Oreochromis niloticus: one gene and its partners. The protein of the gene in region 3 purifies or fractionates together with the protein of the main gene of each other region. This does not show direct contact. Links are inferred from orthologs where the notes say so. Each region holds a gene or a part of one and is shown on either strand. Other genes may lie near its edges.

Region 1 (7,836 bases), on a different chromosome or scaffold from region 3:
GTGTATTCAGTCAGCAACAGCTCTGATCTGCTGCCAGCATCTGACGAGATGTCAGGCTGATTTGGGTCGATGAGGGAGAAGCAAAGAGAAAACCTCTAGATCCAAACAAAGTGCCCAAACAGGACATATGAGGCAGTTGTTTTGACATCAACAAACGCCTGAGCAGGCGTCACTTTGAAGCCACAGTGACTATTTTTAGGCCCTCCTTATCTCCCCCCGCACTCACAGGGCACGAGGCCTCAGCGCCGAGCAGCCTCGGCTCGCCCACGTGCGATTTACAGTACATTTATGCAACGCACTTCTACTGCGGCCTTCATCCCCCCTCTTCCATCTCCCTCGCTCCCTGACTTTTCCCCTTCCACCCACTGTTCCCTGGAAGCCAGTTTGTTCCTGCTGGGAGGGATTGCATCATGACTGATTCACAATCAGGCCATGACTCTCCGACCAACTCCAGGATTATGGAAAATAAGCAAACCACAGAGACACTGGGGGTATTATTACAAGGTCTGAAACTGTATTTGGCAAGTTTTTTTCTTAAACAAGTGCATACATGTACAGCTAGAAGCATTTTTTGTTTCATTTATTAAAGGATTTTGCCAAGTGCTCAAATTAGTCACATTCTATGCTCGACAGGGACTGTCTGCAGACCTAAAGTACAACGACAGACTGAGAAGAAACAGCTGTGGTGGGAAAAAGGAAAAGTCTTACTGGAAACACAGTAAGAAACAATGTATTAAAGAAAAAAGTCAAATTTTACTGCCACATTTATGAAGTATACACTCCCCTGCGTTCACTATGTACATGTCTGCCAGCTCCTCTGAGGTTTGCTGGGTGAGCTGCGTCTGTTACTTTATGTCCTGCTGTTGTTGCCATACTTGGGTTACAAGAGGGAAAAAAGTTCACGAGAAGCAGTCTGAGAACTTTTTAAGGGTCCCGCTCCTTTTTTACCTTTATATCTCCGGCCAATATGGTGGTTATTTCCCCCTGCATGAAGGCCCAGGGTACATTGGAGCCAACCAGCGGGCACCTTTCACCACTGGGACAGTACACCTCGCCGGTGGCCCCCTGCTGCTTGATGCTCTCCCGGGAGCAGGGGAAACAGAACTTGTGAGAGGGCACTGAAGGGCACTGGACAAAATGAGTGTCCTCTAGCCGCTCATGGCACAGAGTGCAACACAGCGGCATGCTGCTCGGTGGCACAGAGGAATCCGGAATGCTCTGCGGCGGTGGCTCCATACTGCCGGGACCATGCGGAGCGGAGGGGTTGGCGCTCACGGGCCCCTCTCTCTGGGCCAGCCTCCTCTGTGAGGGTGAGAGGGGGCTCCCGCTGTTCCGTCGTGCCCCCGCCACGGTGGAATGTACCTGGCTGCCGTCCTTAGGTGAGCCGGTGCTGCCTGCGTTGTCAGTGGCGAGGATGAGTGCAGTCATGGGGGACTGGCCATTCTGCGCTGTGGCAGCCTCAGGCGGTGTGGTGCGGGAGTGGGGGGAGATGGTTGATGGAGGCGCCGCAGAGAAGCCTGGTAGGGCAGCTGGGGGCATCTTCAGGACTTCAGAGGGTGAGGGGAGCCATGGCTGGCCCTCACTGCCATTCATCTTGGGGGCACTGCTCTCACCATCTGGCTCAGGGGAGGCCTTCCTCTTCCCAGGCCGAGGGTGCTTCCCCCTGTCTGTGCAAAGGAAAAGCAGCAGGGTTAACGCCACGCTAGGTACACACAAACATCCCGGCCTGTGCAGAATACGAGGCAGCTCATTTCTACCCCCCCCCCAACAACCACACACACACCTGCTCCCGTACTGCTCTCTCACACAGAGGTGAACGGGTGCGTGCCAGCAGCGTGGCTGGGCGGACCCTTCACGATGGCGTAAATGCACGACACACCGTGTGTGCAAAGTGCTGACACATTAGTTCCCTGCTGTTTAGTTCCCGTTTTCATGGCGCGTGCCAGCTCACCACATTCTAGTGCAGACACAAAACAAACAGCCTACCTGTTTTTGAGGAAGTGCCACTCATTTCGTACGCCATGACCCGCTGCATGGCGGTGTGGTCCTTCTTTACCCTGCCGTCGAACGTGTGCAGCATCAGGTCCCTGACAGTTTTGCCTTTGTTTATCCAGTCCTTGTGGCTGTCCGACATGTCCGACATGCTGTCCGCCCGGTGCTTGTCTTTCAGCTCCTCCGGGCGCTTGCCGTGCTCCCCGGGGACAGGCGCGATCAGAGCGCCGGTCAGACCGATCTGTGTCGGGCGGCCGCTGAGCGGATGTATGGCAGGTATCCCGCCGTTTACCAAAGGCACCAAGCTGGGAGGAACCGTGCTAGTCCTGCGGGGGTTGGGGCTTTGGCGGTTTAGCTCAGGGGGCTCGTCGGGTTTGGGAAATCCGTTGGGCATCGGGAGGCCGTTCGACTGCCTGCCCGCCTGGTACTCCGGGCCCAGCCGCGGCGGCCTGTCTGACAGCGGATAACGATCCAGAGGTTGAGGGGGACGGGAGCCCGGGTCTCCAACCGAGTGATTGATCTCTTTCCCGGCGTGCTGGGGTTTCCCCGGGCCCGGAGAGCGGCCGTCCTGAAAGCCGTGTGCTCTCTTTAGCTGCCTGGCAGTCTCGATAACGAATTCAATCCGGTCGGCACCTTCGTAGTTCACACATCCACGGCAGACGGGTTCGGTAAAATCCCAGATCATCGCCCACGGCATGCGGGGCAAGTCGCATAAATAACAGGACTGCCTTCTGGAGGCAGCGACCGCCGTGGAGGACATATTGTATCCCCGAAGCGATTTCAAAATGTCCGACAGCTTGTTTACGTCGCAGAGAAGACGGAAAAATACGTCAACGAGAATAAAAGTGGCTGATTTCGTCCTCACGAAGAAGAACAGAGCACCATAGCTGTAGCTGTTCCCTCGGCGCGCCTCCGTCTGAGCTCGCGCTTACAACTCAGCTCCAGCTCTCAACGTACGGCCGTGACGTCAGCAACGACACTCGGCTCGTGCTCCGGGGTTCTATTTACTGGATTCTTCGACGACGCGCATGCTCACCATTTTTCTATCTTTGTCCGGAGCGTTTACTCTTGAAGATGTGTATGCCCGCGAAGAGGGACCACTCTGTGTTTTATTGGGACCGTAATAAAACACGGCAGCGATTTGTCTAAATTGAACAGCTATTCAATCTAGAGAAATCATTTCACTTTGATCTGTGTCAAACTGAAGTAATTTCCACATCTCCAGGCTGTGGGACTGTAAGCTTTTATGTTTAAATGGATGCAATTTAAAGTTTCACAGCGCTAATGTGCTGCCATCATCTTAGAAGCAAACTGCAGCACTGAGAGTGCACTGAGACACAAAATGATCAAGTGAAATTAGTGGAAAAAGCTTTATTTTATCGCTCTGTGCGCTACATCTCTAGAATAAAGATTTTCTCTGTCATTAATTTCAATTCAATTCAATATTGTTTATCACAGTAACAGTCGCCTGAAGGCGCTTTATATTGTAAGGTAGACCCTACAATAATACATACAGAGGAAAACCCAACAATCATATGACCCCCTATGAACAAGCACTTTGGCGACAGTGGGAAGGAAAAACTCCCTTTTAACAGGAAGAAACCTCCAACAGAACCAGGCTCAGGGAGGGGCGGGGCCATCTGCTGCGACTGGTTGCGGTGAGAGAAGGAAAACAGACCAATTTCTTATCTTAATTGCAACACTGATTCTTTTTGCTGTTCATTTTTAATGTTCTTTAAAGACTTTAATCACTACTTTATCATCATCTGATAATGTCTTCGATGGAGTGAGCTGCATTCAAAGGATGTTTTTCTGAAAGGTGTTCGTTGAGCCATGTGACTTGAGAGATTTTGTTAAACCAGTTAACACAAAGAAACCCCGGCTGTATTGAACTTCCTTTGTAACACACCTCTCAGGCCTCACTGAGTGTTTACAAAGCAGGACTGTTCAGAGCTGAAAGATGAAGCCATCTTCATGTTCTGTTGTACTAATATGCAAATTTAACTCTTTCTGTATTAGTGGTAAAATAGCAAAACATTAGAGATACATCAGTAGAACCTTGAAAAATATAAACAACAATATTAAAATGGCAGCAACTAGTTAAATACAGTCCTCTGTGTGTGTGTAATTTAAACTCAGTGTAATGAGTGTACACATGTAAAAAGACAATAACATAATAAACAAGGCTGTATGTGGATCCAAATGCAGCTTTTAAAGACACCGGCGCCGACCTGCTTCACGACATATTATACTGGGTTTCAAAAGGGATGCGTGGAATTAGAGGCAGAGTGAGACCTCTTTTCTCTCAGCTCTCATCTTTGTTTGCAGGGCTCCAAGTGTTTTTCTAAATACCAAAGATGTAGACAGTGAAAAAATAATCTTCCGATTTAAATAATCAACTCTGCAGTGTCAAGGCAACCAGTGTTAAAGCAGTTCTGTTTAGGAGTTCGGTGTGACGCTGAGTGGGTGTTAAATCCCTCTGTTGCATTCCAGTCTCGTTGCCAGGCACATCTGACATCACCACTGTAGAAGCCAATCCCAGAATTAAGCTGCTGTTACCAGGCAAACTGTAAACCTCCCTCCCCTCTATTCAGTCTTCTGCTGAGCTGAGCTGATCATTTTCCTCTCACTGGTATGAAATCACTTCCACTGCTCTCTAGTTTCTCCTCACACACAAGTTATAGCAATAGAAAGCAATGACTCAACTGGCAGTAATTCAACGAAAACCTACTTTTTGAAGTAAAATATGATAGAAATGGAAAGTATTTTAAAAAACTGTAGTAATAGAAAGGCATTAAACTTAAAGTGATAATATATCCAGTTGCATTAAAATTAGCATCTATTTTCAAGTTTATAAAATGCAGGTAAAGCCCAAAGGCACAGGATAATCAGCATAATTGATTAGAATTAAGTACAGTGTAGAAAACTGGTGATGAAAACACCTGTGAGACATCATATAGATGTCCATTTATCCATCTATTTTCTACAGTGACACCCAGATTTCACTCTTCCTGGTCATCATCTCCAGATCTACTGGGTGGACACCACAAATCAGCCAAGAGATGTAATCCCTCCAGCATGTCCTGGACACCATCCACAGCTCATGGCCATAGTTCAGGGTAGAAACACAGACTGATACAACATAGGAACATAAACGATTGACTGGTCATCCACCAGCCTATTCTTTTTCCATTTTAGCTCTATTTGACTGCAAACTATCCCAGTATGAGCTGAAGATCACAGCCTGAGGAGTCCAAAGGAACCATATCATCTGCAAAATGCAGAGATTTAGCAGAGATAAGCCACCAGAGTCAGCCCCTACTTGGCTGAGCCTAGAAGTTCTGTGCATTAAATTATGATTAAAGAGGTGACCTTGGTCCCAAAAGCAAGAATTGTTGGCCAAGACTCACTCAATTCAGTTTATGTATCTAGTGGCAAATCACAACTATAGTCGCCTCTACATTGTAAGGTAGAGACCCTACAATCATCATCTCTCCAGTCAGGCTTACAGACATCATGACGTGTCTCACTTACTCAGTCAGTGATGGAGGCAATGAGGGAAAGAAAGTAAGAGGGAAAAGGCAGAACAATGTATCCTGTTTTGCCAGTGTAACACTGGCCGCTGTAGGCAAATATGTAGGAGCAGAGAACTCTTTGCATTCTGCACGACAGTCAAACATGAGCTGCATTTAGTCAAATCTTCAGTGGGAGAGGAAGACAATGGCAGATCTGAAATCCAGTAAGGTTACATGAAGTGTAACCTCTCAACCAAAAGGCTACTTCATCAAAGATTTTGGAGGAGTAGGGGAAACATCCTTAAGAACCTAAAAAACAAGTAGAAGTCCAGTTGCTTTCAACTCAAGTGCTTAAGACTGCCATGATCTGAATGATGGGAAACCTATACAAAGAAATAAATGAATGTGCTCATTAACACTCCGAGGTCTCACTTGAGACTTTAACTTCAGTGTTGAATCCATAGAGCCTACGCAAGTGGCCGACACCATTGGAAGCATTTCTACTTGTATGTGGTGTTTCTTTGTTGCACTGCAGTTTTCTGCCAAAACACTAACTGTTGGTGGAGTTTATCTCTCTGTTTCCTTCCAGTTAATTAAAAACCTGCTGAGAGGCCAGAAATGGATGAGAGGACTATGACAACACAACATGTAGTTACATTTGTCAAGGTTAGGGGGAGGTCAGATTAAGGTTTAGTCTCTGGACTTCTTTAACTTTCTTGAAGATGTTTCACCTCTCGTCCAGGAAGCTTCTTTAGTTCTAAGAGCAACTGGTGTAGAGTCCCTACCTCGTAAGCCCTATTGGGAATGTCCCAAAGAGGGTCGTGGACCCCCTATTGATCCTCTGGCTAATCACACGAGCCAAGGTGTGAAAACGGGTGTGGGTCACAATCAGCCAAGGTTTCAGGTGAACCCACTGTGAGACCTTGCCCACCCATGTCATGTGACTTACTGAGAACAAATGGCCCAAGACGTGAGTGGGCGTTAAGGCATCTGGGAAGGATTTCCAAACTGGACTATACATGGTAGACAGTAGACTCAGGCATGTAGGAATGATTATTCCTACTCTCATTACCCAAACTTGAGAGAACATTTTTTAAACATATCAAGAATTACTGTACTTTCTAATGAAGCTCATATGCTTTAATGTGTGCAGCAAGATGTTGGAGATCTTCTTCTGTGGTAGTGAGTACCATCTAGTTTGCTGCTGTCTGCTGGGGGGCAGCATCAGTGCCAGAGATGCCAGCAGGATGAACAAACTAATCTGCAGGCTGGAAGCATCATTGGTCAGAATTTGGAGATGTTTGAGTCAGTGAGGGGCAGGAGGTCACTGAACCTACCCTCTCCATCAGGGACAGCCCATCACACCCACTCCACTCCATACCTCTGAGGCAGCAGAGTGATTCAACCTCGCTGCCATAAAGAACACTTTAGAAAGCCTTTCCTACCATTCTCTATAAAGCTGTAGAATAACTTCATTCTGTGACAGGTTTACACACCTGTCAGGCAAAAGATTTTCATTAATGCAATCTGCACTTCTCGCCTACACAACGTCAGTCTTACTTTTACTGTTTTTAACTAACTTCATTTTGATTGTCTTTGTTTTGTTTTTTAACACTGATGTAAATATATAAATTCCTGCTCTGTCTCATAGTATAACCTCCTTACCACTCAACTGTTATTTTAAATGTGTAGTTTATTGTTGTTTATTGTGCAAGTTCAAACTATGCAAAAAATTATAAATAATCTAGAAGTGCATTCACTTTTTCTGGGTCTGAGCTAATTACAGATGAACTGACGTGAAGTGGAAAACTCCAGTTAACTGACCAGTCAAATGCCCAGTTTGCCTTTTGTCCCGTGTTCCTCCCTTTATTCCCAGCTGGTTGTGGTAGATGGCTGCAGTAGCTCAGTAATCTCTTTAAGAGCCTCTGTGACATGGTTAATAGAGTTTTGTCATGGTGTGTTGTTATATGTGTAAGTGATTAAAGTATGTGTGCTGTTCATAGAATGTTGTATATATGTATATTTGTATATATTTAAATATTTATTTATTGTGTCATGTAGTTTTTCACATGGTTTGATATCCCCAGATGTAGGCTATTCCAGAAACTCAAATGAGGCAGATAGAGTATTAAAGGAAGACAGCTGCTCTATGAGGGTTTGGTGGGAGTTAGTGAAGTCCTGTTTTTTGTTTTTATCTATTTGATGTATAGCGCTTGAGTGTCCTAATCAGGATTACATCATAGCTAATTGTGTCTCAGTTTACTCGAAAGCCCTTTTCCCAGTGACCTTTGACTCTCTACAGATCAAAGGCAAGGGTAACCTCTGCATG
Region 2 (7,980 bases), about 6.1 Mb from region 3:
CCCCTGGGGTGAAACAAGCCCATGCATTATGACTCAAATCAAGCTTAATTTATTTCGCATGCTCTAATTGAATATCTCCATGTTGATATGTATTGAATAAAAATAGCTGGATCATTTTTCTAATTATTCCCGCCCCTCCCACATTTTGTCTCACGGAACATGCATATTACACAGGGTTTTGTGGCTATTACATTTTTCATACAACTTGGTACTTGAACAACTCACTGGCTAGGCAGGCCAAATGGCTCATGTAGACCTGCTGCCCTCTGCTGGCAAAACTGTGAACCTCCAACAGTCCTCATGTGGACTAATAGTGGCACTCAAATCAGGCCTGTGCACACTGATGTTCTGATGCATCCATAGCTACGTTAACTCAGCTTATGCTAACTTGAGTTCAAATAACATTGTGCTACATTGCTATATTGCGTTTGTGAAATGTTTGTAGCAACTTTAGCATATTTAATGGAGTCGACATTATCTGATAGCGCATTCTTCTGCCTGAGGCTGACTGAACTCTCAACAGTTGAGATGCAAAAAGTACCTGCCGTTGATTCTGATGATTTTATCACCAGCCTTACACTGTTAGAAATACAGAGATAAAATCACTTAAGTACTAGCAAAAGTATTGAAGTAGTTTTCGCAGGTTCTAAACTTTGAAAGTAATCACTTTGCATAGTTTCTATGCAATAAATGTTATTTAAACTATGTTAATGCTTTTTTCAATCTTGGAACATTTGATATTGAGGATGCTGTGGGATAAATCTTGGTAAAGTTCACAATTTTTAATGGATTACAGCTCATATGCAAGTGAAGGAAGCTCTGTGCATGCTATGGCCCCCTAATGATGCCATCTGGGCATTAGATGTAAGAATATCTTAAGGCTTGGATGGTGTTGAGCAGTTGGTAGCTGCCAGCACTTGCAGGGTGTCAGACTGGTCAGAATCGTCTCGTCCGAACCACATAAACTGCTCCCCCGCCTGTGCCAAAGCTGCCTCTGCAGACTTCTGCCTGTGGTTGTGAGGGAAGCGCCGGTTTCTGGATGCAGAGTCAACAACCTCTTTCACTATGAAGTCACTCTGGTAGGCTGTGACGTTCCCTCGAGTCTCTTTGGTGCCATTGTCAGTTCCACCATGGCACAGGCAGAAACGGGAGATGTGCTGTCTGCGATCATCAAGACACCTTCTCCTTCCCACACTCTGAAGTACATCAACATAGAATAGAAACGGTCTCCTTTAAAGGTATAATGTGGTGAATCTTGTGTTCAGCAAAGCCTTGAACCTTTCCCTACATACTTACATGAGAGAATACAATGACGTCGTCTTTCAAGGCATGCTTGTTGTCATGGTCTGAGAAGGGATACTCTCTGGATTTCTGCAAGTTAACCCATAAAACACATACTGGGACAGCAACTAAATACACAACTGATAGCAAGTCCAAGAAAAACTATCAAGGCCACTGGCAGTGACTAAAAGGCCATGCCTTATCTACATACACACCTGCTGACTTTTCCATTTAGGATAGCGTTGAAAGTTTAAAGCCTGAGGCAATGATGACTTCACTTGAGTCAGCATGATCCCAGTGCTTGTACAGTTCTCTTGAGTCTTTGTCTCATTTTCTGATAAACCTGAATGAGCAAACTGGGAACAAAATGAAGGAAAACTTAATTACACATCTAGGTTTAGAATGCTATGATTTAATTATCCAATGAAATGAAGACTTCTTACCCATTTGCAATCAGTGCTCACTGAAAAATGCCGCTTTCCGCCTTTTACCATTTTCCCACTACAGCTTGAGGTGTTTAGACCACAATCAGTAAAACCAAACAAGCACTCCACACACTGTGCAACTTAACTACTAATGCCAACACTGGTGACCATGGAAACAGGCAGCAAACAAACTGCAATCAGATCCTAGAGATCGGAACTGAATTCTGATGATTAAAACAAAACAAAAAAACAACCCCAAACATTTTGAAATATTTCAGATTTGTGATTAAACAGAATGAGAAATAGCCCACAATGAAATTCTTAGTATTTAATATTTAATCAATTAAGGAATACAACATGCAATGTTTAAAATGATAGTCTTTGTTCAGGAGAGGGGATTAAAAAAAAAAAAAAAAAGGCATAAAAGTCTCTTTATTTTCTTTTACAGGTGATAAAGAAGACAGTAACACATAATTACATACAAGAGTGTACAGTAAACTAACACTGAGCTTGATTTTTCAAAATTATTAAATGTTTAATTTGTTGAACAGTAATTAAAATGTTAAAAAAAAAAACCCTCAAACAACTGAAAACCAGATGAAGTTGTTTCAAAGGTTAATTTATTAAAAGAAAAAGAATCATAGAACCAGAAGGGTTTGAAGCGTTGATCATGAAGACGACGTCCACATGTGATCAGCTAAACTTCAGGGTGACTTGTGATGTAAAATTAGGCACTAACTATACGTCACAAACAAATTTGCATAGTATAGTGGATCTTTAAATATATTTTTAGATAAATAATAAAAAATAAAATAGATCCATGTGAGCAATTTGTCCTAACGAAAGAAAAACAAACTACATTTTCATTATTTATGTCATCATTTCATCTATAAGCACTGGGGAGAAGAAAAAAAAGTTCTCCCTGGGATCTGAAGGGAATATTAGGCCTGTGGTGGACCCGAGACATGACACTGGTCTGGGAGTCCACTGTGCATATCTGTTGGAATATTGATCCCTGAGGACAAGATAGGCAGACACAAAACAATTACCATTGATTCTTTTGACCAAACATTGAATTAAAGGTCTTGAGCTGTAGATTAAAGTGGCTGGAAACTGTAAAAAAAAACATGACTTTGATGTATTCACTATTATTGCAACATTCATACATTTTAGAATTCATTTTAAAATCTTGGTACTGACTTTTAAAGCTTTGAATTGTGATGCCCCTGCCTACATTTCTGATCTGTTAGAACTTCACGCTCCCTCTCGCAGCCTGAGATCATCTAATCAAAGGCTGTTGGTAGTCCCACGAACACGTTTTAAGACCAGAGGAGAGAGATCTTTTAGAGCGGTGGCCTCCAGGTTGTGGAATGCTCTCCCTCCATCATTACGTTGCCTTGATTGTATTTATTCTTTTAAAAAGCAGCTTAAGACTCATTTATTTAGACTGGCTTTTAATTAGATTTGTGCTGAATGTTTGATTGTGCTATTTTTTTACGTATATCTGTATATTTTTATGTATATCTGTGTTGAATTGAATTGAAAAAAAATTCTTGCTTAAAAATAGCATTATATCAAAGTGGTTGCACATGAATTTCCTATTAAATTCTTAATTACTATTAGGTTTTATTAGTAGTTGGGTCCAAGAGTTCCTATTCAGTACTTCATGTACAGTAACTCTTATGAAGTTGCCACTGCTATCTAGTTAGATGGTTAAAAACAAACAGACAAACCAAAGAATATAATTTTGCACTATTCTCTTATTTTTCCATTAGCCTTTTGTGTATCATATTACCAGCTCACCACTAAGACACACCTTTCTTTAACCTACGACATAAAGCTTCTTAATTTAAAAAGCAAAAAGGGCGGCCTAAAAGTCAGCCATTTGTTTGCATCTAATGTGTGTTAATATCTATATGCAGATTCTTACTCTGAATGGCTGATGTAGACTGTGCTGCATCACTGGAAGAGTTGGTCAGTGTGGGCTCACGCTCTTTCCCCACACCTTTCTGGAGGCGCTTCTTCAGATGTTTGGTCAAATGTTGCCACCTGGTAAAAGGGAGCAGTCCCAGATAACTTTTCAGCTTTAAAGTGTGATTATGCTATCATATAAAGTTAACACGTTTAAATTTTTGAGCTTTGCAAGTCACACAGAACTCATTATCTCACCTTGCCTGAGTGACATTGTAATTATTCAGCCTGTCCGCTTCCTCTTTTTTTTCCTCCATCCATCGCTGCAATAGCCGTTCTTTCTCTCCCAGTGCATCTGCAAGAGCTTCCTTTAGGCATTGCCGATCCACACGCAGGGCTGCTAACTCTTTGGATTGACACTCTATGGTGAACTCATATTCTGAAAGGGCTTCCTTCAGGGTGTTACTCCCTTTAGCCAGAGTAAGTGCCTCTTGATGGAACTGAGACACACTGTAACAGCAAAGTATTATAATGGTGACGAACTGATCCCTTATATTCTGAATACAAAATCCCAACAATCGACCTAATCGACCTCCCAACCTAAGCTGGAAAATTATACTTCTTTATTTCAGTGGTTCAGTATTCCTATGAATATAAAATAAGTTTATTATATGACCAAATTAACTATTTACTAGGATTAATCGGCAACATATTGAGCAATTATGGGGAAACTTAATTTGAAAATTACCTTTACTAGATCTGAAATATACCATGAATTAACACTTACCTCAATCTGGTCCATCATGTGTTGCTTTTACATTGTCTGTGCGTTATTTTAATCTTGGAATCATAGTCGTACTGACCAAGGTATTTGAATTACCGTGATTGCCAGTACTGTAGTTCAGCTTCTTTGAGATGGAGGACGGTGGTTAGGTCGGAGACAGTTTGAGATAACTGGGTAGACAAAACAAAGGGTGGAGTGACCCAGTTCAAAAGCAGACAACAGCACACACCCATTAAAGATGATTATTAAAGTATTTTCTCCACTCCTCTGAACCAGTTGCAATAATGAATGTTTATTTATTTATTCATTTTTTAAAATAAAGTTCAAATGCTTTGAAAGTTGTTTCAGATTGTCAGATGTGGTGTTCGTGCATATCAATGCAAATATGCTGCTCTGCATTTTACGTAGACGTCTTCCCTGTAGTGGAGGTTTTGAGCCTCTGGGGCGTTTAATCATTGGATTACTCCTCATTTAACCCACCTTATCTACCAGGTGCTCACTCTCTCTCAGCTGGAGTCGAAGCAGTGTGGCGTTTCCCCCAACCTCAACTCCATGTCTTTCTAAACTGAAAAAAAAACCAAAAAAAAAACAAGCGTGCAGATTTAAAATACTTTACAAAAAAAAAAAAAAAAATCAAGCAGAGGACAAACCGATCAGCACAAGCGCCAGATGTAGGGTAAGTTAAATTCTGCATTTCTAACCTCTGAGACTGAACATCAGCCAAAATCTCTTCGCGAAGTTCAAAGCGTTCCTCCAGCTGAGACACTAAAAGAAAACAGACAAACGTCCTTAGGTTCTGATAGAGAGGACAACATCAAGAGAGGCAGAGAAAAGTTAATCTTACAGCTTGTGAAAACGCCAACAAACGGGAGCTTTTCTCTGTGGTCCCTATGCTGCAGCCCTTGGCGCACGTGATTCTTCCAACTTTCCATTATAATGGACACTTTAAGGAAAAACCTCTCACGTTTGCGCATCCAGAATAGACTATACTAAAGCAGCGGGAATACAGCGTCTTCAGCCCTCACATGAAGTCTGTGCCATCCACGCAGGAATTAAATGCACTCAGCAAAGTTTCACAGCTCCTCCCTGTTCACTGATCAGCGTGACATTCCTGGCTAGACATTCTTACAAGGATCCATATTGTATTATATTATATTATATGATATTATATTATATTATATTATGGACAGGAGAAACATTAGTACTCGAATATAATTACTTAAATGCTTAACTTGTCCCTCCACTGCTAATATTTTCATGACTTATCATCTCATAATTTATACAAAAATATCCCTGCACCTAAATGTTTTTGTTTGTGATACTTTTTTTTTTTTTTTTAAAAGTATCACAACTTTTTACGGGTTTTTAACAGCTGAACAGAATTGCACTGCAATTGTTTGCATACCTCACACTGAATCAAATTGTTTAAAAATAGAAAAATCACACCACATGCAAAGCTCACGTTAAATTAAAAACAGTGGTGTAAACAGTCAATTTCAGAATAAAAGGTATCAGAAGAACGTGCTCCACTTTTCCAGAAAGAACTTATGAAAATACTTCCGGTTCATCTATTTTTCACAATAAATCGTTTCAGATAAAATATTTTTCCTTGACTAAAACAAATATCCAAAGTTATAGCCTTCAAATGTAAATGTAAATATTTTAATATTATTGAAAAGTTTTATTCTTCGAAACTACTGATAAAATTAGTTTTGTAACTCTTTTTGCCTTGAAACAGGAAGTTGTTGTTGGCTTATTGCTAGCACTTGCGACTGCTCTGTCAATAGACTGGCTGCAGGCTACAGGCTTGTGTAAGTAGTCACGGAGCTAAGAGCTAAACATTAGTCGTTTACAAAGCAATGAAAACTGTTCGCCTTCGTGTCGTTTAGGTTTAATTAGTCTAGTGAAACTTTCATTTTACAGCTTTACGTGTCAGCGTTTCTTTATCGAGGAGCTAGCTTGTCTAGCTAACTAACTTTGCCAACATGTTGACTTACCTCATTCGTTGACTGATGTATAGACGGTCCACGGCTTGTCGAAGCCATGGATATGTTATTTGTTTATTAAATCGGAGTTGTTTGGTGAATTAGATCTTCGTATGTCCAGTATGAGCGCATCAACTGGAGACGGAGAGCCTTGCATCCCCTTGGATAATGCAAAGGAAGAAGTCAGTGGTCCTACCTGCACTGGAGACAACAGTAAACATGTAAGTAACTAGTCTGCAAGGATAATCTACCATCTAGTATGTTGTCATGTGTAACACTCATTAATTAGTATTTGAAGTGCTAATGTTGAGTTAGGCCACAGTGGATTTATAGTGCCATCTGTAAACATGCTATAGCTTTAGTGAGAGTGGGAAGCAGGTGAAGGAGAGCCTGATGAGGTGGTGGAATGCTCTGGAGAGAAGAATGAAGGTCAAGAGAAGCAAGCCATAATACGTGTGAGTTAATAAGAGCGAGACAGGTGACAGGGGAGCGAGACAGTGTAGATGAAAGGAGTAGAATTAGTGAAGGTAAAGGATTTCATATGCCTGGGGTCATCATCATCAAGTAACGGACAGTACACAAGAGCATTGAAGAAGCGAGTGCATACAGGGTGGAGAGGGTGGAGAGGAGTTCCAGGTGTGATTAGTGACAAAAGGACATCAAAAAGGCCTACAAACCTTCTGTGATATATGGTTTGGAGACTGCGGCACTGACAAAAAGGGCATTTGGGTATTTGCAGGAGAGGGATAGTGGATTCACTGGACAAAAGATGTTAAATATGGAGCTGGAGGGGAAAAAGGAAGACAACTGATGAGATCTGTGGATGCAGTGAAGAAGGAAATGCAGAGAGTTGGTTTGACAGAGCATGATGGTACAGATGGGTTGAAAGGAGGCAGATGATCAACTGTGGTGATCCCAAAAGGGTGCAGCTGACAGAAGAACATCAGTGTGCATAGTATACTCATGATAATCAACTGCCAGACATATCCTTATTTAAAAAGATAAGGCTTGGAGCCAAGATCTTTATCATACATTTCAGTAAAAACGAAATTGTTACTCTGTCAGTGCTGTCCATTCATTCTCATAACTTCACACTAATAAGCTTGATATTGTTATTTGTAGGAATCAGCAATATGCTCAGGCAGCAGTGAAATCAAAAGCCGTGCTGTGGTCAAGTACTGTGCAGCCCCACCACCTACCAGCTATGCCCTTCTGCAGGAAAAGACCGACTTGAAGCTACCTCCTGCCAACTGGCTGAGAGAAAACCCCCAGCTGGGCACCGCTGGGACCACTATATTAGGATCTAGCAGCAAGAGCAAGCCCTTTTCCAGGTATAACTTAGAAAAGGGGGCACGTATTCCGTTTTTATGGGAAAGATTGAATTTGAATTGATGTCAAGCTCATGATTGAGGTACATAGGCACCACTTTTATCATTACACCAAGAATAATATCTTTTGTTTAAATGTAATTTGCGACCCATGAAGACTGATACTCTATCCACAATAAACAAGGTGTGGAATAGAGTATTGCATAGTTGCAAAACTATGGTTCAAACTCACAGTGGAGGACTTTTCACTACATAATTCAAAGTAC
Region 3 (7,567 bases):
CGTTGATGTCAAGCCATCCACTAGCAGTGACATCACATTTCACTCCTTGTCTGTGGCCAAAGTCCAGCTGAGCACAGAGGTGTCTTCATCAAAAGTAGAGCAGTCTTGGATGTGCAGGATGTGCGAGGATGTCTTTGACTCGGAGGTTGCCGTCCGCAAACACTGTAGCGATGTTAGTAGTCACAGCTTTCAGAGATTCGTCTGCGGACACTGTCCTCAGAAGTTCTTCAAAGAGTCCACCGTACGGAGACACTGTATGAATGAGCATGATGGGGTCATAAAAACTTCCTATTTCTGCGGCCTCTGTGACAGCATGGAGTTCGGATCTGAGGAGGAGTTTTTTGAGCACTACAAGAATCTTCACAGTAAGGACTACTACTGCATGGATGACGTTGAAGTTGTTCAACCAGATGCCGCCACTGCCGCTGAGAGTACCAGTCAGTTTACATGCCCGTGCATGGGTTCAGAAAAAAGTAAAGCAGACATGAAAGCCACTTACACACAATGCATGAGGAATCTGGCTGCGGAAGAAAAATGCCAGTACATCTGTGTGCCTTGCGATGTATCTGTTCCATCCTATGCACAGATCAAGACTCATGTCCACACAAAACACACAGCCTTGAACCTGGACAGGAGCTTTGACATCAGATGCAAAGACTGCCAAGAGAGTTTTATGGATGTACCGAGTTTCCATAAACACTACCACTCGCAACATTGTACACTGGATCCCTGCATGAGTTCCAGGACCTGCAGGAAAGGCTCGAAAGCAGAACCCACCACTCCAAGAATACCTAATGCTGTGGAGAATAAACCAGAGAGCAACGGTAAATCGGTTAAACTGATTCACATTTAATGTCTTGTGTTTGAATGTTAATTTGTATTCATGTTTGCAGAGATTGACGACGAAACGCTGACAGTTTTCAACACTGATCACACCAATGACAAGAGTGAAGTGCAGGAAGGTAGGCAGTAAACTATACATATATCACTGATATACAGATGAGGCCAGAATTATTAGTCCCCCAATGAATTTTTTTTTTAAAGTGTTGTTAAACAGAGGAAGGAATTTTAATCACAGCTTTTTCAAAAATCCTAGATTTTTATTGGTTACATTATTTTTATTTTGCACACAGGAACCAAATTATTTATACAAACTACCATAGACAAGTGATGAGTCCTCTTGATGCTAATAGGTGGTGTATCCTTTTTGCTGGATAACAGCCTGCAATAGTTGTTTGTAGTTTTCAACTAGTCTCACACACATCGCCTGAGCAATCCCAGTCCATTCCTCTTTGCTGAGTCTCTCAAATGCTTTCAGATTTGATGGTCTCCTGGCATAGACTTTGGTCTTCTGTTTAACCCACATCAAGTCAGCTCTTTGAGCAGTCCAGCCAGTAATGTTGACTTTGGTCTTCTGGAGGTAGTTCTCCACCAGGAGTGACTTATTGTTTATGTCGTCATGTTGGAAGACAAAGTAACTGCTCAGACCCAGTTTTCCTGGTTTTCTTTAAAAATCTTCTCATATCTTTTTTTCCTTCAGGATTTCTTTCACTTTGACAAAGGTGTTTTTCAAGTGATAACTCAAACTCTTTTTGAGGTTCTTATGCTTTCTTTAAATTGGAAGATAAACCCACAGTTTTAATGATTTTACAAGCTTTGAGCATTACAAAAATAAAGCACATCGTTGGACAGTGGTGGTTTTTGCTATAGCTAAATAAAAAGGCCAGTTTTCTCAGGGAGCTAATATTATTGACCCTGGTAATTTTTGTTTTTTTTCTTAAACAATTCTGTTATTGTGTGCAAATACAAATAATTTATGCTTCCTAAAGAAAACTAGTGTGTTTAGTAATCCTATGTTGAAAATCCTTAGCTCTATTGAAAAAGCACTGGGACAAATTTGAAATGGACAAAATGTTAATTTTCATAGGGGACTAATAATTTTGTTGTCACCTGTAACTAGAAAGAAAAGGCTAGATACTAAATAAATGCTACTTCGTTTTTTTTATCTCTTTTCGTCATGAGACCCTAACGGCTGTCTGTTTAAAGAGAACTCTTCCTTTAGCTCAACTGCTAATAATTATTTGCATATTTAATCCTATGAATGTCCTGCTTGGATAAACGACTCTGTATTCTGTTACAGTTGAATCGGATGACGAAATGAAACGCGCGCTGTCTTTGAGTGCAGAAGAAGCGCAAGAGTCAGCAGGTATGTGTATGCAGGGCTGAGGATATAGTCTCTTTCTCTTTTGAACAGTTTGTAAGTCAGTACAATACAACATATTGTCTGTTTTGCTGAATTTATTGTATTGAGATAAACATCCAGTACGTTATGCAATCGGTGATTGTTAACATTGCCCTGCACATTAAGGAATGAAAATGTCGACGGATAACATGCAGGCCTAAAAAAATATTTGAACAGTTGGTTTAGTGAGGTTTATTCCCAGCCTTTTGGGAGAGTTTTTTTTTGTTCTTTTATTAGATAGGAACAGACAGGAAATATGGGATGCAGTGTGATGTGCACTCACAGTCTGGCTGGCCAGGAATCAAACCGTGACTCACTGCTTGGAGGAATTTGAACACATTTAACAAATGTCGAGACAAAGAATGTGTTTGATCAAATTGATGAAAAAGAAACTTGTCTGTAGTTTTGTGTACTAAAATGATGTCAGGCTTACATTTGAGAAAGCATGAACCTGCTGCTTAAATCAGAAAGTAATGTGATGAATTACATCTGTGTAAACAGGCTCTTCAGAAATTCATAAATTACCTTCCTACTGGGGACAAACAGTAAAAGACGGTGACGTGAGCTCAAGCATAGGATGACACAACGTTCATCCGACCATCTCAATCTTCAATGCTCCATGGTTATGAAATATTTTCAGAAAGATGAAGAGAGAAGTCAGTCCTCGGAACAAAAGGCACTCAGAAAGACCATCAGATTACAAGAAAATGCTTAGAAACACCACAGAGGAGTGCTTTGAGCAGGATTACAGACACAGCTCAGTTCAAAGACTATTCGAAGTGTGGGTAGAGGGGAGTGGAAACTATCCAGCTCACAGACTGGGACAGCTAGGCTTAAATTTGCAAATAACACGCACAGAAAGTCTGCAGCTATTGAAGGTGTTATTTTCAGACAAGTCCAAATTTAGCGTTCATGCTGAAACTCCAATCAGTGTCCAGATTTTAGATTTCATCAAAACATGAAATCTAAAACAAAGCAGCTGCCTACTGAAAGAATATTTTTCCCAGGAGAAGATGTTAGAATGATGTCGGCACGGAGTGAGAGTCGATCTTTGTGGCACCTGTGAGACGTCATGAAGAGGGGGGCGGGGAGTGTGGATGACCTAAAGGCTCTGCTGGCTCAAAGACGAAGGAAACATTTTGGGGATCACTATAAATAGATTTGGAGATATGAAAGAATAGAAATGTTAAAGTTATGACATTATGGTCAACATAAAATGTTCTGTGTTGTTGAAATGATGCAGTTTGTAGTGTTTTCCATATGGCCATGCTGGTATGAATGAAGGTTTTCTCGTGTAATTTGTTTTCACAGAGTTGGAAGAAGCTCTCAAAAGAAGCCTCCTGGAGTTCTGAGAAAGTCGGTAGTGCTTTTGTAACATGCTGTTCATCGAACGTTATACTAGAATGTTTTGTACAAGGTAACGTGTTCAGAATATAATAAAGAATTAAATGTTTGTCCTGTTTGGGTTTTTTTTTACTTTTTCTGAGTTTGTCATTATTTGCAGTAAGTGGACACCAAACTGAACCGTGCAGATTTGCAATTTTGTAAGCTTGACACTTGTGAGGAGCCAGAGTGTTTCGACACGTGTGCTATAGATGGCATCCACCACACTGCAAGATGCCTGAGCTGAACATGTGACCACAGTGCTGTGTCTCCAGTTGCGCTCTGTTTTCCAGTGTATTGTATGTCACAGACTCTCTTCGCATGGTGTCATGTGAATCCTGATCTTTCTACGCAAGAATGCTAGATTATTTTTCTTAAGGAAAAAGCTTTTGTGATACCAGAAGTCTGCAATATAAATTCACATAATTTTTGTGCTCCAGAAATGTGTTAATTTGGCGCACACACTTAAGAGTACACTCGAGTAAAACTTGTATACCCAGCAATTAATGTTCCCAAGAGCCCACATGAATAATGTGGGCTCTTGGATAAAATTAACTGCTCATCCCTGCATACACTGATCTGGGTAGCCAATTCCTTTTTATGAATTAACACTGAAAATATGCATTTAGAATCATCGTGTTGTAATCAACTGCAATATATCCATGAAACTTTTCATCCCCTTGGCTGTTACAAGCCAAATATCTGATTTTGGGCAAGTCAGCTAAAGAGCAAAAGCTTTGAGATATTAGTATATTTGATGACACATACAGGTTAGCACTCCTGTTGTAGAATTGCATCTCAGGCTAACTGCAGTGCCAGAGGTGAAGCTGCCTTTGTTGGTGAGGAAAAACTCCTCATTTAATGTAAGGAATTTATGCTATAGTATACATTTTTTATATTTTATAGTACTTGAGTCATTGATAGAAATCACTGTCAGAGTTAAAAGGTTGGTGGTGGATTCAGCAAAGTCTATTAACTAATTTTGTTGGACAAAAAATAGTGACTGTTATCCTATTTTAAATCCTAGCTAGTATTTCTGTGGACCGGACGGCCGTTTCCGTGGTCCTTCAGGGGGTCCTCGGACCCTAGTTTTGAGAGCACAGTTCTGGGCTCCTCGGGAAGCTTCTATGAGGAGAGAGTGAAGGAAGTTGCAGCCCATGTTTGGAAATGTTCTCCCAGGGGCGCTGCAGCAGCAGCCGGTGGAGCTACAGTCAGCTGGACAGCTCGGAGTTGACCGCACACGGGATTTGTTTTTACTCCGGAACGGATCAGCCTTGTGACGGGTATTCATCATCATGGCTCAGGCAAAAATACAGGCGAAGATGAACGAGGCTACCTGTAGCAAGTTCAGCAGGACGCTATCCATGGCAGATCGCTCGGGGCGGCTGCTGGAAAGTTTGGACCAGCTCGAAATGAGGTAGTTAAGTAACGGGCCTTAGCATGTGCTTTATGCTGAGCCACCTATTCAAGCATTGTCGTTTGTGGGATATATATGACTACTCACATCTTCTATAATAAGTTATTATAGCGCTTAAAATGTGCCATAAAAGTAGCTTTAATTTCTTAGCGGTTTTCCGAGAACAGTTAATGATCACATTTTACGCATATGTTTTATAGGTGGATTGCTTTTAGTTCGTAGCTCACAGCCTCATAATCATTACTCTCGCAGTTTAAGGATGCTTTTCAATGGATGGTTATTGTCATGCTTTGTTGTCTCCAACAGGGTGGAGGCTTTACGCGAAGCGGCATCGGCCATGGAGCAGGAAAGGGAGTGCATCCTGGAAATGATTCAATCTCTACAGAACAGTCAAGAAATGCGTAACATCTGTGCTGGTGAGGCGGTTTGCTGACTATCACAACTTGAACGCAAAAGTCACGCGCTGGTTGATGTCACTATAAAGATATAGCCTCCTAGTATCATTTTGTTGTTTTGAATTCCTGTATTTCTGCTCTGATGCCACTGCAACATTGTGATCCAATGAGGACACGCTTTGAAAGTGAACTTTTCTGTTGGGTGGAGGTGGGTTCGTGAATGTCTGAGGATTTAAAGAGTTCCACCCAGGTAGTTGTTTGCAGCTCCTGGATGTCATTTATACATCAACCTCCATTTTAATGAAGGCACTAAACTAGGCTGAACATGCTCATTGAAAACCACCTGCAGTCTGTATCTGATTACCCATATTTCATTTTTTTTTTTTTTCAAAGAAAGCGTCCACTTGCAAAGAAATCATTACAGTGTACAGTATTAGGCAAAAGTCTTGAGCCACTCCTTATTTCTTTCTACATTGACAGTAAAGTGGAAATAAGTGCAGTGATGTAGTAAAACATGCAAAAATAAATGGAAATACAAAATTTATGTGGCAAAACAGAATTTGGGCGACTGCCTTTTGTTCTGTTCTCTGCCAAGACGATCCCACCCTGCTCAGTAATGTTGTGCTTTGGGCTCTGGGGAGTCCAGTCCATTACAGATAGTGTTCCACTATGTGTTTCCTCTGTCTAGCTTTTAATCCATTAGCAATGTGTTTGGGATCATTGTCATGCTGAAAAATGAAGCCAATCAGATGCTTTCCAGATGGTACTGCATGGTGGATCAAAATCTGACGGTAGTTTTCTGTGTTCATAATTCATCAATTTTGACAAGATCCCTAACACCGCTGATACTTACTGCTGTATCTCTTTCGCAACCTCCTCCATACATACTGATGACAGTTTGAGGCAGAAAATTCAAATTCAGCAGACTTGATTTTCTGATACTATTTATCTGCTGTAGATTGTTTTTACACCAGCTGCTTTGTCTCTCAGAGAATTTTTTAGAAAGGTTTTGCAACAAGATGGCCTTGCAGATCTGAAGTGTAGATGTGCAAGCCCACCCTGTTGTTTTACACTGCATAAAATAACTGTGTCCCTGGCTTGTGGTAGATTGAGCACAGTCATGAACATGGAAACTTCAGATAATAAAGACAAGGGCAAGGATTTGAATTTAGATAAATCTAGCCAACATGCTACCCCTTACAAAACCTAGTTACCTGTGGTAATCTTTTCACTTAAAGAGAAAGTATTTATTTATTTTTTTTCCCCATATGTTGTGTCTCTTAGGAGAGAGAGAGGAGTTAACTTTAACTGCAAACCGTTTAATGGGCCGGACGCTGTCTGTGGAAATCTCTGTTGGGACAATCAGAAACCCGCAGCAGGAGGAGGCGCTACAAAAAGCCACATCCATCATAGATGAAATAGTGAAAAAGTTGCTGGACGACATGGAGGGGAGCAGGCAGAAGCTGCTGGCCCTGCACGCCGCATGTGTGACTGAAGCACCGGCCGTTCCCATCAACCAGAAGTTTCAGGCCATTGTGATCGGTTGCGCTCTGGAGGACCAGAAGAACATAAAGCGGAGGCTGGAGACTCTATTGAGAAATGTTGAAAATGCTGAAAAGAACATCAAGATTATGGATCATCAAAAACTGGAGAACACCAAAGCAAACGGTAGTCAATAAGACTCATCACCAAAGCATTAAATGTGCCTTGAATGTTCTCTTTCAGAAGGCTGCTACTTGTAGCAAGAAAAGTGAACAACAAATATCCAGTTTTACCAAATCATTGTCATTTTTACATTGATCTACTTAATATTGGTTACTTAATGTTTATACAATGTACGTGTGTGTTCACATATGCACCTAGTGCAGTAAAAGATGCTGAACAGCAATGAATTAAGTCTCTTTTTGTTTCATTGCCTCACTTTTAAAATTAGGTAGTTGATTTTGTAAGTGCACGCACTACCTCTTTATGTGAAATCAACACAAGATATATGGATTTTAGTTTGTATTTGCACATATGAGTTTTATTTCAGATCACGTGTCAAAAAACTAAATAAACCTGTTGTCTTATGAGTGTCGGGCAGAGACTTCTTTAAATATACAGTACTCCTCAGCAGTCAAGCTCCCAGAT
Region 4 (7,853 bases), about 8.7 Mb from region 3:
TTGGAACAAGCAGCCTGCTGACCTGAGGACAATTGCAACTATGTCTACATTCAAAAACAAAACTTAAAACCTTTATTCTCATAGGCTTACATTTAACAGTGTGCGCACATCTGTTTGTGTGTATGATAACTTGTATTTTGTTTCTTTGAAAAGTTTTATTTTATTGTTTTTATTACCTTAAGACACAGCAGACCTACATTTTTTTCATGTTTTTACCTTAAATGGTATTTTTAAAGAAAAGCAGCTGTTAAACAAAATCCACGGTCACTCTGGCACCAACAGAACTAACATTTTCTGGGTTTAATACAAAAGATCTTAAACAGCATGGCTGTTGGGAAATCTTCTTGCCCAAGGGTGTCCAAACTCACTTCACCTCATGGGACACACACACATCTGATCACAAGTGGGCCATACCAGTCATTATTTCATGGTATTTTCTAATTAATTTTTACTTATTGATTTATTTATTTTTTTGTTATTATTTAATGCTATGTCCAGATGAACAGAATCAACCTTTTGGGTGTTATTCTTTTAGCTTACTTTCAGTTAGCTTTATTTTTCCAGTTTAGTGTTGATTGTTTATTTAGTTTTAGTCTTTTTATTTATTTATTGTTTTAATGAGGGCATATGTCAGATGAAAAATCTAGGGAAAATTTGCTCACGTATTACAATAAAAACTGATTCAGACCTCAAATAATTAATCAACATTTAGAAGTACTTTTAACTTTTCATACATTTACATTCCTTTGTAGGAATGCTGGAATCTCAATATTAAGCATTTTTAGTGAAAAACTGACTTCCCTACAATTTTTGGACCCTTTGGTGGACTTGCAATCATTTGACACCCCCGCTCTAGCTCCACTAGTAACTACATCACAGTTAAGATGATACACTGGTGATGTTTCAAATTACTTGTTAAGCTTGAAATCACAAACTCAAGACCAACCTTTCGGTGACGTAATGATGCATGCATGAAGGGGTTAGATGGCAATGCCAGCTGAATGAGATTAATAAGATGTCTCGGGTAGCAGTTTTAATGGCAAAGATGGAGCATGGAAATGTACGAATGGCATTTCGAAAAGCACAAAACAAGTGAAAACTGGCAGGCATGCAGCAGACATATTCTAACTAAATGAAGTTTGATGATGTCTGTTATAATCACATCTAATATAACACAAACGTCATCATTCTCCATATCACAATCAACAATATGCACCTGTAGCTTCTTAGAAATCTGTCGTATGTACAACAAATTCATATCCTCTACTATCTGGGGAGTGTCTTTCAGAAGACTAGGGCACGGCTGCATGCTCTTTGCCTGCAGGGAGATTAGTTGGAGCAGTATTAGAAGGAAGCAAACATACAATGATGATGCAGCGTACACGGATATGGTTTCAGGGAAGTGAATATTGACAAAAGGGGCACTGCCCCGAACTAGCTTTGCCCTGGAGGGTTGAAATCCAGCTTGAGAAGGGCGTTAGCAAGTCAAGTCGCAGTACATGAAACTATGTTATTAAAGCCATGTGAATTAAAAAGATCAGCATTCGCATGTTTGACGTGCACTTTGCACCCACTCCATTGGGTAAATCATACAAAACAATCACTGTCGTACCGCCCATACCTCTGTTTGTAGGAATAAAGTACTCTGTCGTATTTTCTTTCGTTTAATCTCCATATCCACCGCGGAGCCGGCCAAAAACAATGACCTGGAGCCCCCATTTTTCTTGGAAGTTTGAACATCCCGCGGATCGTCCATGTTGTATGTCCATTCGCTAACAGCAGCTGCACCAGCAGCGTATTCCTGCTCCTGCTTCCAACGGCCGGGGGCGGTTCGATTTCTATTATCTTACCTCCCGAAAAAGAAATGTCCCGTCGTGTCAACATAAAGTAAACCCATTACAAAAGCTTAAAAGTGTATTGTTCTCTCAGCACATTTAATATCATATCAAATAAATAAAAATTAGGGTATAAAATGTAACCAAGCTACGACTTAATAAAATGTTGTAGTCACCATGTCACGCTAGATCAAACCTTAAAATTAAAACAAAATTAAACTCTAACTTACAAATGTCCTATGGAATCGAAATCATTAAATAACAAGAATTAAATAAAGAAAAAGAATACTTTAACAATAATACATAAAAGGGTACAGTTCAAATATAAACATGAAAAAACGTCCCGCTTTTCCCGGCGGCACTGCCATACATAAAAACGAGTGCCTTTACGTCAACAGGGAGGGGGCGTCATTGCGTCAGTGTGTCAGACAAAACAGGGCTGAACCGTTTTCGAGTTTGAATTTTCAGACAGTATAAAATCATAGACAGTATCAGATAACATATATTTTATTACATATGTTATTATTGTATTTTATATTTAATTCATCTGAAAATGTATTTTAAATATTATAATATAATACATACAAACATGCAATTAACTAACAGGCTGTAATGCTAATTTAAAAGTATAATTCTCACGTTTATGCAATGAGCATTTCCATTTTGAGCTCCCATTTTTAAAGCAAAACAAATATGAATCTTTTATATGTTACTGCCATTTGATCAACCTCTGCAATTTCATATTTTTTAAAAGCGGTGGATGTTTTTCTTGTAGTGCCACATCCCTAATTAGTTTGATAATCTCGAGTAGTAATTGGTTCCTGAATATCATGCAGCAGATACAGCCTTCATTATCAGCATGACCTCTGCACAGTCCAGGTGGTGGTACTGTAACAAAAGACCCCGGAACGTAACCAGTGTGAGTCCAGGAAACCCGCCCACCCGGTTCTGGCTGACATCGCTTCTGGTTGAGTTGGAAGCATCCACGGTTGCAGTTGTGGACGCAGGCGCTGCTGAGGATGAACTCCGTCAAGCTGGGGAGAGAAATTCCACTAACACAGGAAATTACATCAGCTTTTAAAAATAAAACGCAGGATTTTGAATTTTAGACGAGGTTGACATGCAGTATAATCCTCTGAGTCACTCAGTACACAGTGATGTCAGCTACTTTACCATCTGTAGAGTACTGTTAGAGTGACTGCCCTACAATAATCCATATCTGTCCATATTTAATACACTGTAACGTTTTATTTCACACTCCTTGAATCAGGAACTAGTCTACAATTGCACCAGCAGCAGACCTATCTATAAGTGGAAAAAGAGTTTTGTAAACATACAGGCATGTGCCTGAAATCCATTCATTCCTAACAGGATGCAAGAGCTTGGAATTTTATTGGGGAAGTGCTATAGTGGGTTTATGGCTTTAAAATGACTTGTCATGTCTTTCTTACTTATATTTTTAAGTAATTTAATCTATGATATCAGTCTTTATCTCTATAATGCTTTTAGTAGCATTGGGTCTAGGGTACAGTAATTCCATAAATATGGTATTACTGTAGATACAAGTTTCTTTTTTTCTTTTTTTTAACTTTCCCCATATAATAAATTATTCAAAATACTAAGGGTTATTACATGCAAATTTTGTCAAAGAATGGTTTCACATATCCCAAAATATAAAAGGATCCATGGGGACACAATGCACACAATCTTGGCTTTATAAGTTAGAACATGATATTGAACTTTTTAGTTGAAACTCATAACAGAAAGACTTTGGTTGAACCTCTGGTTTAACTCAGGTGATCATGAGATTATAGTTGTGCGCATTGTTCTGAATATTACGTTTATTTCAGTATCAAATACACAAATAAATAAATAAGTAATTTAAAAGCTTTCTGGGGAGACAGCGTTTAAACTGTGAACGTCACACACCTTGCAGTTGGGGGGCAACCTTCTACTCATTTTTTCATATGTGTTGTGTCAAGCTGCTTTGAGAGCTCAATGAGGAAGACCTGTCAAGCACAGATAATACCATTTTTGAATTCAGGGTGCTGAGCTGTGAAAAAGGTGTAGGTATTCAGGGTGGCAATGTGAAGTTGTAACACAGCACCATGGGCCATCTCTATGTTTTACACTTGCAGGTGTAGGTGCCAACCATCTTGTACATAGTATCTACACCTCCTTTGGTCTTGTTATAGAATTTGATTAATTAGTGTTTTTTTCCATTTCTGGTATTTTCATCCCCCATTTTGTTGTGATACATCGAGTACAACAGCCATTTCTTTCTTGATGACATAGCTGACTATGGTATCACAAACGTATCACATGTATCACAAACCCAGAAGATCTTCAGGCCATACTTGACGGGCTTGTTTGGCAGTGACACAATCACTCGGGATGAATTGCCGTCTGAATGTTGAATAAATGCTGTCTTTTAATCCTAATTTCTCTAATAAGAAGGATGTTTCATGAACTTTCTCATTTACCATTTTTTAATTACCATACATTCTGTACATTCTTAGAACTGTTTCAACCTATTCTTTTTGCAAACTAAAAACATCAAAATCACATCACATCACATCACAAAAAACAAAACAGAAAAATTGCTATCTACTATGGAAGCTCGTTTCCACCACTAAAAAACCCCAACATTATTTGCCATCCATATATCAAAATTTCAGGTTTTTATCTAAAAAAAAGTCAGAGAAAATAACTCCAAAATGACATAAATCAAAAATAACGTAAAATTTCCAGTTAATTTTGAGAAATAAAATATCCTGAAATGAAGACTTATGAATATCAATTTAAACCCCCCCCCCCCAAAAAACCTAACTCAACTTCCTTTTAGCGGAAGCAAATTTCCATACTGTGACAGCGGTATGATTAAAACTTAAAACACCACTGAAATTATGATCGACGCCTCAACTCGGAAATCTGAGTATCCTGTTGTCTCTTTGACTTTTATTTTGAAACTTCTGACCGGAGGCAGTGATTGGTCTATTTGTCACTTTGACGCCTCTTTCAGGATGTTGGTCCGCTCGCCGCTGTTTTGCAGGGAGTCAGTAGCTTATTGCTGAGCAACGGAGGGAGAGAAGGCCCCCGCATAGAGCCAGACTGAACTGCAGCAACGACAGGGCTGGGCTCCACACGCAGTCACAGAGCAACAAACATCTTTAAGGAAAGGGTAAGTGTGGAGTGTACTTGATTTTTTTTCTTAGCGAACAGTATACAATTGACAGCCCGTAGTATGGTTTTAGCTAGGTGGTTGACCGTTACTCACGTGAAGTTTGCTGCAGACAAAAAAATATAAAGAGTCGCTTTTGCTTTCCTTCTGCACATCCACTGATGTCAGTTTCCTCTTTCAGTGAGCTCATAGAAAATTCCCCCAAATTTTCAAACCATTAAATCTGTATTAAATCTGAGTAAAATTTAGGAAACAAAAAACACTCCGGCTCTTGTAACGACTAAACAGATTGGTCTGACTCCCTCTTGGCTAACGGGATGGCTACTATTGTCAGCAGCGGCATGACAAGCATACCCTGCTCCACCTTTGTAAGCCGCACAGACTATAGCCACTTTGCTGCCCTTGTAAAAACACCGGCCGCATACTGCTTCACTCCAGATCAATACTATTGTTTACTACTGACCTGATTTTGTCCAGTAGTTGCATCCTTTTGTAGCCAGACAGAGGCTAATCGAGACAAGATGCACATCAATGAAGGTCGGTCACACTGAACGCTTTGTTTATCTTAGTGGAAACATGCTACCCCCGGGGTCTTCTTTTAGTCTGTATTGTCTAAGAGGTAGATTTTATGGGGAGGTTTTACTCTAAGTAAGGCAACTGCCGAGTGTTTTCCGATAACGGACCCCCCTCCTCTTCTTCTGTGTGGAGGCTTTGTTTTCGTGGGGCAGATGTAGCTGGCCTGCATGCATCCGCTCTCTTTGTGTTGAGTTTGATTTTTTTTTAGCTGTCATCATCACATTAGCTGTAAAACTTTTGAAAATAGCAGCAAATGCTTTAGTTTAAATGCCATATGGTAATTTGATAACTCTCCCACAGGCTGTTCATAAGCAATTGGTACTTCATGCTAGAAATCAATGCAAAAATATTGTAATTACGGTTTAATTACTGTTACCAATTTAGCACAAATGCTAGAGGAAGATGCATATCAATCGAAGCCTCACAGCTGTTCAAAACATTTAAAATTAATATTTATATTCACAGCATTAGAAACTGTTATATTTTATTTATTTAGCTATATTATGCTCTTAAATTTCATCCTGTAGACTCAAAGGTGCTGGTGAAAGTCACTTGCAGCTCTGGTCTGAGTTTATAACCCGATTAGATGTTCTTTGAGAGCTACGTGTTTCACATCAGTGTGTCTTGCTAGTCTCCTCCCTCAGCTGTAAGAATTCAAATTTCTTGGGTTCGAGCCAAAAGAATGTGCAGATAATACCATCCAATCCAGTTTTGCTCCTTTTCCCTTTTCTCCCCTTTTTCCGCCTTCTTCCTGTGTTCTCCCCACAAATGTGGCTGCCAGCAGGGTTGTTGGCTCCACTGGCGGTTGCATTTTTAAAAACTGTGTCAGTGTCACAGGACGTTTGCTGCACTCTCGGAGAGGAAGCAGCAAACTGACTGAAGCTAAACTACAGCCAAGCCTGACTACAGACGTGTCTATTACACTTAAAACATAGCTTTTTTGAGTTTTATTTTTCTTTAGAAAAAAAATCTAGAAGCTTCTTGCAGTAATTCGACTATCAGTGCTGTTTGATCAACTCACATTTAATGTGCAGTGATGTAAATTACCATACTCATTGAAATCCTGCTTTTTCACCCTGATATTCTTTCTCAGCATCTTAACTCAATCTGCTGTTCAAAGAGTAATTTGTATGCATATAGTATATCCTTCAGTAATATTTTCAATTCTAGTTTCAAGTTGGGGACATTTTTGGAGACTCTTACTCAGCCTGCCCACAGCCATTGTGTATAGTAGGAAGTTTAGGAAGTGAGTTCATTTTACTTCAGTGGCCCGGGAGTGTTATGTGTGACAGAAAACAAGCCAGTCTTGAACTTAGTATCTGATTGTATTCAGTTGTATTTAAGATGTTGTTAAAAGTTTTGTAATTGGGAGCCTGTAGCTAAAAATAGAAGTGAATCTCAGTTTTGTAATCTGCCAGAGTAGAAACGTTAAAAGGGTTATGAGAGTCACATAGCCTTGCCTGGTAACGCTCATGCTGGCGTGTGGTGTCAGAGGGAAAAACAAGAGAGGTGAATAGCGAAGTCTGTGGTTAGAAATTGGGAGAGACAGCACAGTATACCAGACAAAATTCCCCAAAACAAGCATGGAGCATTTTATATATACAATCATCAGCCGCTCCCTTGTTATGGAACATAAAGGGTGTGTCTGATTTAAAAAAAAAAAAAAAAAAAAAAAAAAATGCCATTTAACCTCTCACAGAAAGAGAAATTGCACATCTGTTTTGGGGTGTAACATACTCCCCTCTGAGTTTCCTTCATTTGATACTTCTTTCCACTAGATATCAATCTTATATTTGAACATGTTCTATTCTCATCTTTCCCTCTGCCAACTCCTGATTGTCCTGTTATGCTAACGTTTATGTTTTTTCCCTTCTAAGTGCAAGAGTGAGAGAGTTCACTATTTTTATCTGCTACTGAAGCTATTGCTACAGCCAGGATAAATGTTGGCACCATAATCAAAGTGGCAGGGTTGGCCAAATACTAATGTTCCTGTTAAAGGGCCATTGGTTAGTCATTATCTGCTCAGCAGGGGCTATGCAGGGCCATTAGAGCAGTCATCAGACCAAAGGTATATTTGAAATGACTGCAATATGTTTTCTATGTAAATGGAGTTTGTATGTTGTGCTCTCTTGATGCTAAAATAGGTATAACTATCTACATGAATAATTAGTTAGTTAAAAGTTTCAGGTTTTTGTAATTTAATATTCATTTCTGGAAGTTTAATAGGTAATTCATGTTATTTTTTTCATTTACAATTTATT

What was found.
Region 1: the proteins of bag2 (region 3) and irf2bp2b purify together in Homo sapiens (affinity purification with mass spectrometry; 3 studies listed by BioGRID and IntAct, with this or other methods). This does not show direct contact. The link is inferred for Oreochromis niloticus from reciprocal best matches to the Homo sapiens genes BAG2 and IRF2BP2.
Region 2: the proteins of bag2 (region 3) and edrf1 purify together in Homo sapiens (affinity purification with mass spectrometry; 3 studies listed by BioGRID and IntAct, with this or other methods). This does not show direct contact. The link is inferred for Oreochromis niloticus from reciprocal best matches to the Homo sapiens genes BAG2 and EDRF1.
Region 4: the proteins of bag2 (region 3) and cep170aa purify together in Homo sapiens (affinity purification with mass spectrometry; 3 studies listed by BioGRID and IntAct, with this or other methods). This does not show direct contact. The link is inferred for Oreochromis niloticus from reciprocal best matches to the Homo sapiens genes BAG2 and CEP170.

The regions. Positions count from the first base shown.
Region 1 is NC_031971.2:4,315,711-4,323,546, forward strand, and holds the start of irf2bp2b (interferon regulatory factor 2-binding protein 2-B), read right to left. Parts: upstream 3,018-7,836; 5' UTR 2,753-3,017; coding exon 1,987-2,752; intron 1,668-1,986; coding exon 925-1,667; 3' UTR 1-924. UniProt on the Homo sapiens protein: Acts as a transcriptional corepressor in a IRF2-dependent manner; this repression is not mediated by histone deacetylase activities. Represses the NFAT1-dependent transactivation of NFAT-responsive promoters.
Region 2 is NC_031978.2:13,922,887-13,930,866, forward strand, and holds the start of edrf1 (erythroid differentiation-related factor 1), read left to right. Parts: upstream 1-4,971; 5' UTR 4,972-5,077; intron 5,078-5,102; coding exon of another isoform or gene 5,103-5,166; intron 5,167-5,245; coding exon of another isoform or gene 5,246-5,375; exon of another isoform or gene 5,376-5,527; intron 5,528-6,122; exon of another isoform or gene 6,123-6,212; intron 6,213-6,491; 5' UTR 6,492-6,499; coding exon 6,500-6,607; intron 6,608-7,508; coding exon 7,509-7,717; intron 7,718-7,980. Other genes in the region: tex36 (testis-expressed protein 36), read right to left, coding at 876-1,196, 1,297-1,371, 1,497-1,637, 1,725-1,775; si:ch1073-143l10.2 (autophagy-related protein 16-1), read right to left, coding at 2,648-2,721, 3,637-3,755, 3,876-4,127, 4,498-4,571, 4,882-4,966, 5,103-5,166, 5,246-5,375. UniProt on the Homo sapiens protein: Transcription factor involved in erythroid differentiation. Involved in transcriptional activation of the globin gene.
Region 3 is NC_031978.2:19,992,803-20,000,369, forward strand, and holds bag2 (BAG family molecular chaperone regulator 2), read left to right. Parts: upstream 1-4,554; 5' UTR 4,555-4,920; coding exon 4,921-5,042; intron 5,043-5,348; coding exon 5,349-5,458; intron 5,459-6,721; coding exon 6,722-7,116; 3' UTR 7,117-7,509; downstream 7,510-7,567. Other genes in the region: E3 SUMO-protein ligase ZNF451, read left to right, coding at 1-824, 894-962, 2,141-2,206, 2,744-2,823. UniProt on the Homo sapiens protein: Co-chaperone for HSP70 and HSC70 chaperone proteins. Acts as a nucleotide-exchange factor (NEF) promoting the release of ADP from the HSP70 and HSC70 proteins thereby triggering client/substrate protein release.
Region 4 is NC_031978.2:11,267,193-11,275,045, reverse strand, and holds the start of cep170aa (centrosomal protein of 170 kDa), read left to right. Parts: upstream 1-4,841; 5' UTR 4,842-5,016; intron 5,017-7,853. Other genes in the region: rtkn2 (rhotekin-2), read right to left, coding at 1,217-1,318, 1,622-1,756.